Linked DNA regions of Drosophila melanogaster. Changing the gene in region 2 together with the main gene of any one other region gives a genetic interaction. Each region holds a gene or a part of one and is shown on either strand. Other genes may lie near its edges. The genes, in order: nbs and mus304.

Region 1 (5,494 bases), 8.4 Mb from region 2:
GCCAAGATTAGCAAACTGAGCTCCTTGCAGGCCGGCAAAAGTGCCATACTTTACAACAAACTGCGCCCCCAGATTGCTAACTTTCCGCAGGTGGAGAAGCACAAGTTTCTGGCGGAGAATCAAGAGCTTCCTGCCAGATTAGAACCTCCAACGAGAACTAATAACCAAACGCAGAAAGACGAAACACCAGACATTGTCCTGATACCGAAAAAAGTCGTCACCAAAGTAGAAAAAGCCAAACTGTTGGCCAAATCTGATGTGGGCACCATAATTGCCAGGAAGGAAACACCCGTTCAAGATACAAAGAAACCCACATTCAATGAAAACGTTCTGGCCACGGTGGCGGATGCACAGAAGTTCATTGAACGCGAGTCGCAGGCCAGGAAACTGAATCCTCCTCCAGAAAGTTGTTTTACCAGAAAGATAGCCAAGCACGAGTGGCTGGCCGCACAGACGATGTTCAATCGCAAGTTGTCCAAGGAGCCGGAAAAGGCGTTGAACATATTTCGCAAGTTTATTGTTAGCAAAATAAAGTAACTTCACAAGCGACGGTTAATTACGTTTAGGCACGACATTAAACACAGGTTACCATACCATCAGCCAGCCGAAGACTCTTAAGCGCAACAATTCGCTTTTGGGGATGAGGATTTTTGGTCTAACAGAGGTACACAAATAAATAAGTCGTTTTAATATTTGTTATTAATTCGAGACTCACCTTTACAAACTTCTTAAAGTTCTTGCGGCCGCCATGCTTGTTCACAGAATCCTCAAGAGAAGCATCCACTTCCTCCTGGGAGCGAATGACAATGTTTAAGTTGCACATGCGCACCTCAATGCTGTCTTTCATGGCGGCCAGCCATTGCTCCTCATCGGGATCCGCCTTAATAGAGGTTTCCATCTTAACTGAGTCTGCATCTATTTCGGATTTGATATTATCGTTTAGCCTGCTACACGATAACCAACCACTGATGTCCACTTTCTTGGGTCTATCTCTACGCGGTGCCACTATGTACTTGGATTGCTTCTTGCTTTCCGTTTCGGGTACAAATGGTTCGGTTAACCGGGAATCCTCGTCATCATGATCAGACGGTCTTTCAGAGTTGAAGTTAAACAAGCCATCCGTGGAGTCATCATTTCTCTGAGCCTCTTGCGTCTTTCGTTTCTTTTTGCTGTCTGCAAAGTTAAAAAGATTATCACAATCATCGCTGTCGCTTTCGTTTAGCAGCTCAAGGCGTAAACGCTTGCGCGGTTGTGTCTGGGATTGGGACTCCAATTGGGGTGGCACTGGAGCTGGTTCTTGTGCCTGTGATTTCTCTAGAAAGTCGACTACACTGATTCTGGCAGGTGCATTGCCTTTGCCTGCGATTCTTGGCTGAACCACAGTCTCTGCTGGCTTCTGTGGAGATTTACGGAATTGAAATAGGTCCCCTTCATCTTCTTCGTCACTCGAGGCCACCGATAAAACAGGACGTTTTGCAGGCACTGCATGTTTGTCAGCCGGTTGGTTGGTAATATTTGTGGCCAATGATTTCCCATTGAGTCGTGGTGAAATCCTGGTGGCAACGGGTGCTTCCGTTTTCTTCTTGGCCATCGAAGGGATAGTTGGAGCTGGCGTTTCTTTTGGTTTCCGAGCATTTTCGTTCTCCTCATCCGATGAGTCAACACAAAAAACCTGTTTGGTCTTCCGTGTTATGTGCTTACTCGCAGCTGGAACAGGTGGATGTACGGATTTCTCCTCAGCGATGGCTTTGCTCTGCCTTGTTACTCGTTGAACTGGAGCAGGCGCCGGAGCTGGTGTCACATCTTCTTCCAAAGACGAGTCCAACAATATGGCATTCTTTGATTTCATGGTCAGTTTCGTAGCGATATCCGATTTAGCTCGCTTAGACAATGTTGATTTCTTCTCCTCGTCCGAGGAGTCAACTGTTGAGGCATGACTCCGCTTACGCAAAGAAGCTTGGTCCTCCGAATGGGGCTTAGAAGCATCTTGTTCCATTTCACATTCAATTGACTCAGGCACCACCAGTTCGGAAATGGGCGTGGCATTGGATTGCGCCGAGTGGCGTTCCGTGTTGGGCACAATGATCGAAGAGTTAAAGGCCATCGAGGAAGTTACAGACTCCGTGGTGGGCAATGAATCGGAGATGAACTTGTGCGTTGGGTTGCAGAATTCTGTTATAGAGCAATGTATTAGGGCCATGCCAATCTCGTACTCCTGGATAATACGTCGACCATTCTGTTCCAAAATATCTAAAAATTATAATACATAATAATACTTAAACGCTGTGATGTGAGCAATATATTTACACCTATCTTGTATACTATTGATTGATTCAGTGGCCTGCGACTGGGACGATGGCACATACTGTATGACTATCACATCACTCTTTGTTAGGAATGTTTTGCGCACACCCGAATTGATGTCCTTGCACGTGGCTCCAGCCTTCTGCACAACTGATCCGTACATATCAAAGTGTTTGCGGTTCATGAAGACGAATGTCTTGCCGGCGAAGAGACGGGTACGCTCAGGACGCCAGGTGACATCTATGTTGGTGGGCTGGTAATCCTCCGGCTGAGGCCAGCCCTCCTTGACATGGATGCTCTGCGCTGCCTGCAGCATCTTTCGCCAGTAGGGGAATGTCACAATCGGCTTATTCTCGAGCATAGCGTGCAGTAGTTTCACGGTCACCGAAACTTCGTTCATGGTTAGATGGGAGCACTCTTCGGTCCAGTTCGAAGTGACCGTGCCGCCCATGGGTTCAAGCATCTTCGTGAGCTCCTGGACCTCGGAACGCGTTAATGCGGAGACAGTTGTAACCAACTTCAGTTGGGTCACCTGCCAAATGCTCATGTTTGCGCCAAATCGCAAGCGTGTGCCCACAGGCAATGGAGTCGATGTTTTGGCAGGCACCTTGCGCGGCTTTTGGGAATTCTTGGGGAAAATGAAAGTGCCATATCTGGAGCCAAGGTCCTCGATATGCAGGGTGTCATCGCCATCCGCTTCCGTTTGGATGAGCAGCTGGGCATGATTGCGACTTATACTGAGGTCCTGCGCAACAATTAAATCCGTGGCCAGGCGACCAATGGTGTACACCTTTTTGCCAGGAAACAACACAAACTTTTCGTCATCTATAAAGAGTATTTAAAAAATGAATAAACTAATAATCTCTGTGTTTTAGACCATTTTTACGTGCCTTTAGTCAAAACAAACATAATTTCAAAACATTAACAAATTCAACAAATAGCGAGCAGTGTGACCTTAGCAGATTTGCAAATTATCTACACAGAGACAAAGAAGGAGTGAGAATAATAGGCTACATCACTTTCTACATAATTTTCTAAGTTAATAGTTGTTTCTTAAATTGATTTTTTTCTTATTTTAGAAATCAGGATAATTTTATTATCGATCGACAAACGCTTATAAAGAATTGACAATATAGACTTTGGATTCAAACGTTTTTTTTACTGTTAAGTGACCAGCTATCGCTGCAATGATACCGGAGTTTCCTACGAACGACAAATTAGCAAGAAGAAGCATTTGCAGCCGGTTTGTTTTTGTGTCGTTTGGCTAATGAAAACCTCAATAAACACGATTTATCTGCGATAAATGTGAGTGAGGAAACCTGTAACCATGTCTCACCTGACCGGCACCCGCGTGAGCACCTTCAACGAGAGCTTCCTTAACGAAAATGAGCACGACTCGAATGCGGTGCTCATGGAACTGGACAAGGGACTGCGGAGCACCAAGCAGGGAATCCAGTGCGAGGCGGTCGTCCGCTTTCCGCGCCTCTTCGAGAAGTATCCGTTTCCCATTCTCATCAACTCGTCGTTCATTAAGCTGGCCGATTACTTTGTCAGCGGATCGAATCTGCTGCGCTTCTGGGTGCTCCGTGTTTGCCAGCAGAGCGAGAATCATCTGGACAAGATCCTCAACATTGACAGCTTTGTGCGCTGTATCTTTGTGGTGATGCACTCCAACGATCCGGTGGCGCGTGCTCTCCTCCTGCGCACCTTGGGCGCCGTTTCCCGTGTGATTCCCGAGAAGCAACAGGTTCATCATGCCATTCGACGTGCTCTGGATAGCCACGATACCGTCGAGGTGGAGGCTGCCATCTATGCCAGCAGCTGCTTTGCCGCCCAGTCAAGTTCCTTTGCCATCAGCATGTGCGCCAAGATTTCGGACATGATCGAATCGCTTCAGGTGCCGGTGCCAATGAAGCTGCTCCTGATTCCCGTGTTGCGACACATGCATCACGAGGCTACCACAGCGTCACTGGTTAGCAGACTGTGCATGGATCTGCTGCCCAAATATCCAGCCCAGAGCTTTGTGGTGGCCATCATAGACACGCTCACTCAATTGTCATCACGAACGCTGGTGGGAGTGCCCGGTCAGCTGGATGTTCTGCTGGATTTCATGCAGGACTTAAGGACACCAGTACGCATACAGGTGCTGCGATCTTTCAACGAGTTGGCCGGACGTCAGAGCGTTCATGCCTGGCCCAAGCCAGCCATCAAAGCGCTCATTGATCGTTTTGAATTGTGTACCAATTCCAAGGAGCAGTTCCTCTTCCTCTCAATCCTGCTGAAGTTAAGCGAGTGCCCGCTTACTTGCCAGCAGCTGCTTCGCGAGCATCGCGTAGCCCTGCTCCGTTTGTGCATCCAGTGCATTAGCAAGCTGGACGACTACACCACCGCCACTCAGGCCATGGCAGTTTTGTCGGTTCTAGTAGCATTTGGTTTAAAAAAAAAGGGCAGCGGCGAGCAGGTGGACGATATTCTTCATATGGTCAACCTGCACATGGAAGGATTGCTCCTTTGCACGGCCAAGCGGTCGGAGTGCACCCGCGATCTCCGTAGGGTGCTGACATACGGTATAAGGATCACTAAAGCCAACGCTGAATTTGGAACATCCTTCATTGGGATCGTGACCAATAGCCTGGGAGATAAGGGTGCCTATCCGCCAGCCAATGCGGAACTTATGTGCGAGGCACTGGCGGGTCTGTGTGAGCACTTTCAGCTGCGTAAGTACGCCTTTTCCACCGCAGAAGATTTGATAGTAGACGAAAACGCGATGGACACCGATGAGTTGCCCCCGCCCAAGGTATCTAATGCATTAATACATCTATGAAACAATTTCTAATTTCTAATTTAACCACAGATAAATCCCATGCTAGCTCGTTTGCCGCTCATTCTGCACAAGCTGAACACCATTATCGACCAGGAGAATTGCGATCAACAGTTGCGCAGCGTGGAGATCCTGAGTTCTCTGGTTCTACAAACCACCATGGGCTGTTACCTGCCGCAAAAGGTTGTTCAGTGCTTTGAGAAATGCCTCGGTAGGCTTAACTGCTGGACGCTGTATAGGATTGCACGCACTGCTAGTCGCTATGGTCACCACTATGTGGCTGCTCACATTTACACCAAGGTCTCCCAGATTGTGATCAGCGATCATATGCACTATTTCCTGGTGGCACTGTCGCAGATCTCGCAGGCG
Region 2 (5,660 bases):
AACGATAAGGAAATAAATATCATTTAAGATAAATAAACGGCTAAATAAATAAATAAGAGTTTAGTTTAATAATCGTTTAACTGGTAAAAAGAGATGTATTTAATATTCTGTATATGCGAGTACAGGTATAATCATATGAAGGAATGATTTCTGATTACATTGGGGAAGGATCATAATACATACGTATATCATACATCATACATCTTACATACATACATATATATATTTATATACATATATACATATATACATATATATATATGTATACAGAAATGCATGTTAAAAATATATGCATGTGAAACGAAAAAAACAAAAGTTCTTAGATGTTTTGTTCTATGATCATATTACAATGATACTTTCTTATTATTGTGAGAAGGAAGTATTTGTTTATTTGAACCCACCTTTGCGAATGTTTATTAAATCAACAAATATAAGCATTTGCATTGAATCACGCTTATTGCAGTAAGCACCATAAGTGCACGTTGAACTTTTAATCAGAATACATTATTTTATACACAATAAGCACGGGTTTAAAATGTAAATGCTGAAAAACATCTAAATATTTACAAAATTAAGAAAAGCATCGCGCTTACAAACTAGTTCCATGCAAACTGAACTGGTTAAATTGAGCCATATCAGCTGTTTTATCAAGTTCCTTCGAAACGATAAGCTGAACCACCAACAAATATTTTGTATTATCGATTCGTAAATTGATATCGAAATGAAAAATCGATTATTTAGCGGTTTCTTTAAACGCTGCATTACATATTTGTATTTTGGAATGCGTTTTTTAAGCTCTAAATTTGTGCAGCGAGCCTTTTCAATTCTTAACATAGCATTTGAAACTTCACAATAAATTAACGCCACACCTATATGTATATATTACTAAAACGTTTAAGCTAACTATAACTACTCAAAAGTGTTCTCCTCCCGTTTAAGGGCACTAAAGAAGTCGGTGTTGAGTAATTTGCTGGGATCAACTGTCACAGCCGACTTCACAGCCCTTTGGTCATCCGCATTCTTGACAATGCGTTTCCATTCGGAGAGGTCGTTGACTGGATTATTGGGCTTGGCCTCCAGATGAAGGGGTTTCAGCATGAAATGGGCTTTAACCAGTTGGTTTAACAAACGCACTAAATGACAGGAAAATATTTAAAAAGTTAGCAACGGAAAATATGGAATGTTGTTAGGTCATTTACAATGTATTGACTGAAAACCAAGCAGGTTCGCATGCTCGCTCCACCAGTTGCATATGAGGCTAAGGTAATGCTTGGTCGTCTCCTCGGAGTCGCGAAACAGACAGGTGAGGTAATACTCGTGAAAGACAAGGGACAGAAGGTGCACTGCGATGCGGGAGATCTCGCCAACTTCTTCGGTGCCTAAATAGAAAGCACAAATATTGATTCGTGTCATTGATCATATGAAAATGATTTTTTTTTAGCTCAAACGCACCTGCTTTCCTGCTGTGCAACATCCATTGGTGCATCACCTGGAAGACAATTGTTACCGCACTGAGGCACAACTTTACATAGCACTCGCAGCCTTTTCCTCGCTGCGTTGTACTTGAATTTGAATTTTGATTCGGGTTCGAAACAGACGCTGATGTCGATCCATTGGAGACCGATCCCTGCACAGCTCCTGTGGAGTTGAAGCTCAGACTGGTGCCTGTTTTCATCAGAGTACCATCGCTGGAGTCCTCGTCGCCATCGTCGGCAAAGTAAGGCAGCATTTCAAGTATGAAATCCGGTGGGTTTTTGAAGCACTCGAACGCGAATCGCACATGATTTCCTCCGATCTTGAGCAGCAACTGAAAGTAGTCCTGCCGCAGAGGAGTTTCACTAAAGAAGCATAGCTCGAGTAGGCCCGCGTAGACCTGAAGTAAACAGGAGTCGGGACCAAATCGATAAACGGAGCGAACGCGATCCGATACAAAGCAGTCCTTGGGACTATTCACACACATTTTATCCATAAGTTGGGGATGTCTAAGGCAGCTTAAAAAGCAGGAGCTAAGCTCAGCAAAAACCCAAGGACTGGGACGAGTAAAAACTAACTGCTTAAGCAGATCGAAGAGTAGCTCCTCGTTATGTTGAAGAAGGGCATTTTCTTGTAGGAGGCTATTTAGGAGTGAAGTCAAGGCTTCCAGCAATCCAAAGTGTTGGCCGACCTCGTAGGAAAATCCTAGTTTTGTGATAGCTTCAATAGCCATATCTAGCAGTCCCAGATCATTTTCTTTCCACTCCGTGAGACCTCTAGAAATCCTTTCCTCTCGCCGGCAAATCAAAGCCAAGGTAGCTATGAAGCGACGCAGCGGAACAGCCTTTTCGTTATCATACAAACAGCTCTGATGGGTCAGGGAAATGCGATGAACTTCCTCCTCTAGGTTGTGGGGATTGTAGGGATACAGCATGCAGTTGTGTGGAAAGTCCAAACTTTGAGCATACGAAGCAAACTCCGTGAATACCTTGCCGACCGACGAGAGTATTCTTGGCAGGAGGTTATCCACAGATTCCGGCTTTGCCTGCAGCCGAGCGTAATGAAGTAGCAGTTGCTTTAATTCCAGTTCAAAATGATTTCTTCGTTTCTTAGTCTGATCCTCATTTTCGCTGTATTCGAACACACTGCCATTATCGGTTTTCAGCCCGGGCACAGATCTGTGTATGTTAAGCCTATTCAAGCGAAGTGATAAGCGTTTCTCCAAAGGATCTGGAGCAGCCTGTAAAATGCTCATGCTGGAATTCATGCTTCTTTCATGGGCTTTTTGCTGTGTCTTCAACTTTGAGAACTCGGCGTTCTTAATCTTCAACTCGATGTCCTTGGCCGCAATTTGTTTGGCCGCTTCTGCCACTTTTTTGTTGCAATCCCGATTCGTTTCGTCGGCCAAAGCCAGCTTTTCCATTTTGCTAGCCTGCAGCTGCTGGCGCAAGTGCTTCAGCTCATCACGAAGTAAGGAAACCTAGAGAAATAAATATAAATGGATTAGTTTCTGTAAGGTCTAGAATCGGTGTTATAGTTCCACCCCGATGTCCACCTACCTCACCAGACTTGATCTCATTGCGTTCCTTACTGTCGCCCAAATTCTTTTCCAGCTGCGCGTTTTCCCGCTTAAGGGCTTCAATCCTATCCATGAGAAACTTTAGCTGATGCTCCTGCTGGCGGGATTGCGTGGCATTGATGGTCGTCGTGGTCGTGGTTTTCTGCTGAACACTTATGCTGCTGGTAGTTATCCTACTTGTGCTGGTCTTCGGCTCCGGCATCTTTTGTGGCTCACTGTCCATGAGGGTAACGGCCAGAAAATCGAAATCATCATCATCCGCGAAAATCGCATCCATATCCAGGGAAGTAGGCTTCTTTTGTGGCGGCGGTGGCGGCGGAAACATTTGCTGTGTGCTGGTTGAGCCCTGAAAAGTGGGTGCAAATTCGCTGAAGGTGACCTCGCTGTTGCCGATGTCCACCTCTGTTCCGCCCTTCTTTTTCCGCTCCTCCGCCTCGATTTCCGCCTCCGCCAGCTGGGTGGCCATCAGGATGACATCGTCATCGTCGTCCCAGAGAATCCCATCGAAATTGTTCCTCGGTGGACTGGGTCGCGCTGATCCGCGGGTAACGCTAACATCCAGGCGCGGTTTCTTGCACCGCGCGAAGTCTTTCATGGCAGAAAAGCGCTTGGCCATGGTTCCTCCAGTTTCCGCTATATTTCGTTACTTTTTGGCCATGGAAAGTCGTAGATTATTTTGCCGGTTTGCTTTGTTTATAAAATGTAGAGCTCAACTAGCGTTGCCAGATGGATTTGATCGCAACGATGGATTTGCCCAACCAAAATAGAGATTATGTTTCGAATCCATGTTGCATAGAAAAATACTACATTAGGATTTACTGCAACAAAAAGCCAGTTTTGTAATATCGCTCTTTGTTATTATGCTGGTTTTTTTTAAGCGCCGATAGAAACCCGCTACAATCACAGTTTCAAAATCCGATTAATATTGAGCAAAACCAAAGTCATCTGGCTACACTCAAGTCTATCGACTGCGGTGTATCGGCATGTGGTGTATCGACTCAGCTTTCCCATTAACCTCAAAGGAAAATCAAAGAATTCTGCGGAAATTCTAGCCCAAAACTAAAGGACTTACGGGGAAACCAGAACCCAGCGACTTCGGTCGAATTTTCGAGGTGACGGGCGGCGCGAATGGAACGCCATGCCAGCGAAGAGGATGACGGTCACCACAGCAGCAGCTTCGACCATCAGTGGAGCCAGTGGGTCCACCACGAATAATGGTCAGTCTGGTGGCGGTGCACGCCCACTGGAGACGCTAAACGGAATGACCAGGCTGACCCCCGCCCGCGACTTGACCCTTGGTGGGCGCGGCGCTGGGACAGCCAGCAAAAAGGTCTTTGCTCCCAATTTGAATGCTGTGCGCAATAAAAATGCGTGAGTTGTGGAATGGCCCAGGGGGAGTCATTCTTTTCATCATCTCATTTGATTCACAGCAATGTCAAGACATCCAAGGACACCACGCAGCCAAGGAGCGGCCGCAGAGGTGGACGTGGCAACGGCACTGGAGCAACACGTGGTCGAGGTGGAAATTCCGCTGGCGGGGGCAACTCCACGCTCATCCAAACCCAGGGACTCTTCTCCGAAGGAGCAGGCGATGTTCATGTGCGAAGGTCCACAGGAAATGGAACGGCATATGCACGGGGCGGTGAGGAGGTGTCCGTGACCAGGAAACGGGTGGATCGCAAGGACGACAAGAGCCAGGCCGAGCGGATCAAGGAGCTCTTGGGCGAGTCGGACGCCAGTGGCGGCGAGCTCAGCGAAGAGGAGGCTAACAAGACTGAGATGGCACTCAGGCCCATCCTGCTAAAAGAGGGTACGTTTTACAAGCACTTTTTGATGCACACGGGCAGAAGAAATTCATGCTTTATTTGTTTATAAACGTTAGGACTCTGGGTCACCCAGAAGACACCGATTGCGAAGCAAGAAATCGCCAGTTCAACCTCAACACTTAAGGGTAAGGCGCTAAGCTTTAAAAATGGCATAATCTAATTTGATTTCGCTCCTAGACACTTTGGCAGTGGCCCAGCATTTGCAACAGCTGCATGTGGCTGCCCAGGCAGCCAGTTTAGAGGAACCTCCGCTGCAGTACGGTCGCTACCCACGCACCATTGGTAACTTTCTGGACTCCAGCGAAGCGCAGATCTTTCTCATGCAACTGCCAGATGTGTTGCCATGTGTGGGCGACGATTCCGAAGATCCGGAACCGTCTAAAGGAGATCATCAGGCCACCAGTGAATCGGAACCAGCAAGTCCTGCAGACAAATGCTCAAACGGACCCAAGGGCAGTGTACTACGGCAGCTGGAAGAAGGGCAGATCGGCAAGATTCTGAGGTACAAATCCGGTCGCGTTAAACTCCAATTGGGGGACACACGCTTTGACTTGGATATGGGTCTCGATCCGGGTTTTCTGCAGGAACTCATGTCTGTAACCGCCAATCGCGAGCAACGTAGTGGAAACATGATCAACTTGGGACCCATTCAAGCCAAACTAAAGGCCACTCCAGATTGGGTGCACCTTTTCCAGCAGCAGGATGCGGCATCCAAGCGAACGAATCCAGTACCGGGCACGTAGCACCCACTTCCCCATGGTAGATATGTAATATAGTAAATA

Evidence for each region.
Region 1: of mus304 (region 2) and nbs, changing one enhances a phenotype caused by changing the other (phenotypic enhancement), as found in Drosophila melanogaster (one study listed by BioGRID).

Annotation. Positions count from the first base shown.
Region 1 is NT_037436.4:9,719,911-9,725,404, forward strand, and holds nbs (nbs), read right to left. Parts: upstream 3,285-5,494; 5' UTR 3,214-3,284; coding exon 3,195-3,213; intron 3,130-3,194; coding exon 2,308-3,129; intron 2,251-2,307; coding exon 716-2,250; intron 656-715; coding exon 575-655; 3' UTR 538-574; downstream 1-537. Other genes in the region: CG14174 (uncharacterized protein), read left to right, coding at 1-537; defl (deflated), read left to right, coding at 3,632-5,101, 5,159-5,494.
Region 2 is NT_037436.4:18,107,923-18,113,582, reverse strand, and holds mus304 (mutagen-sensitive 304), read right to left. Parts: upstream 3,770-5,660; 5' UTR 3,669-3,769; coding exon 3,033-3,668; intron 2,954-3,032; coding exon 1,453-2,953; intron 1,380-1,452; coding exon 1,200-1,379; intron 1,134-1,199; coding exon 910-1,133; 3' UTR 736-909; downstream 1-735. Other genes in the region: Polr3D (RNA polymerase III subunit D), read left to right, coding at 4,191-4,423, 4,483-4,862, 4,935-5,003, 5,056-5,621. UniProt on the Drosophila melanogaster protein: DNA damage checkpoint protein required for chromosome break repair and for genomic stability during development.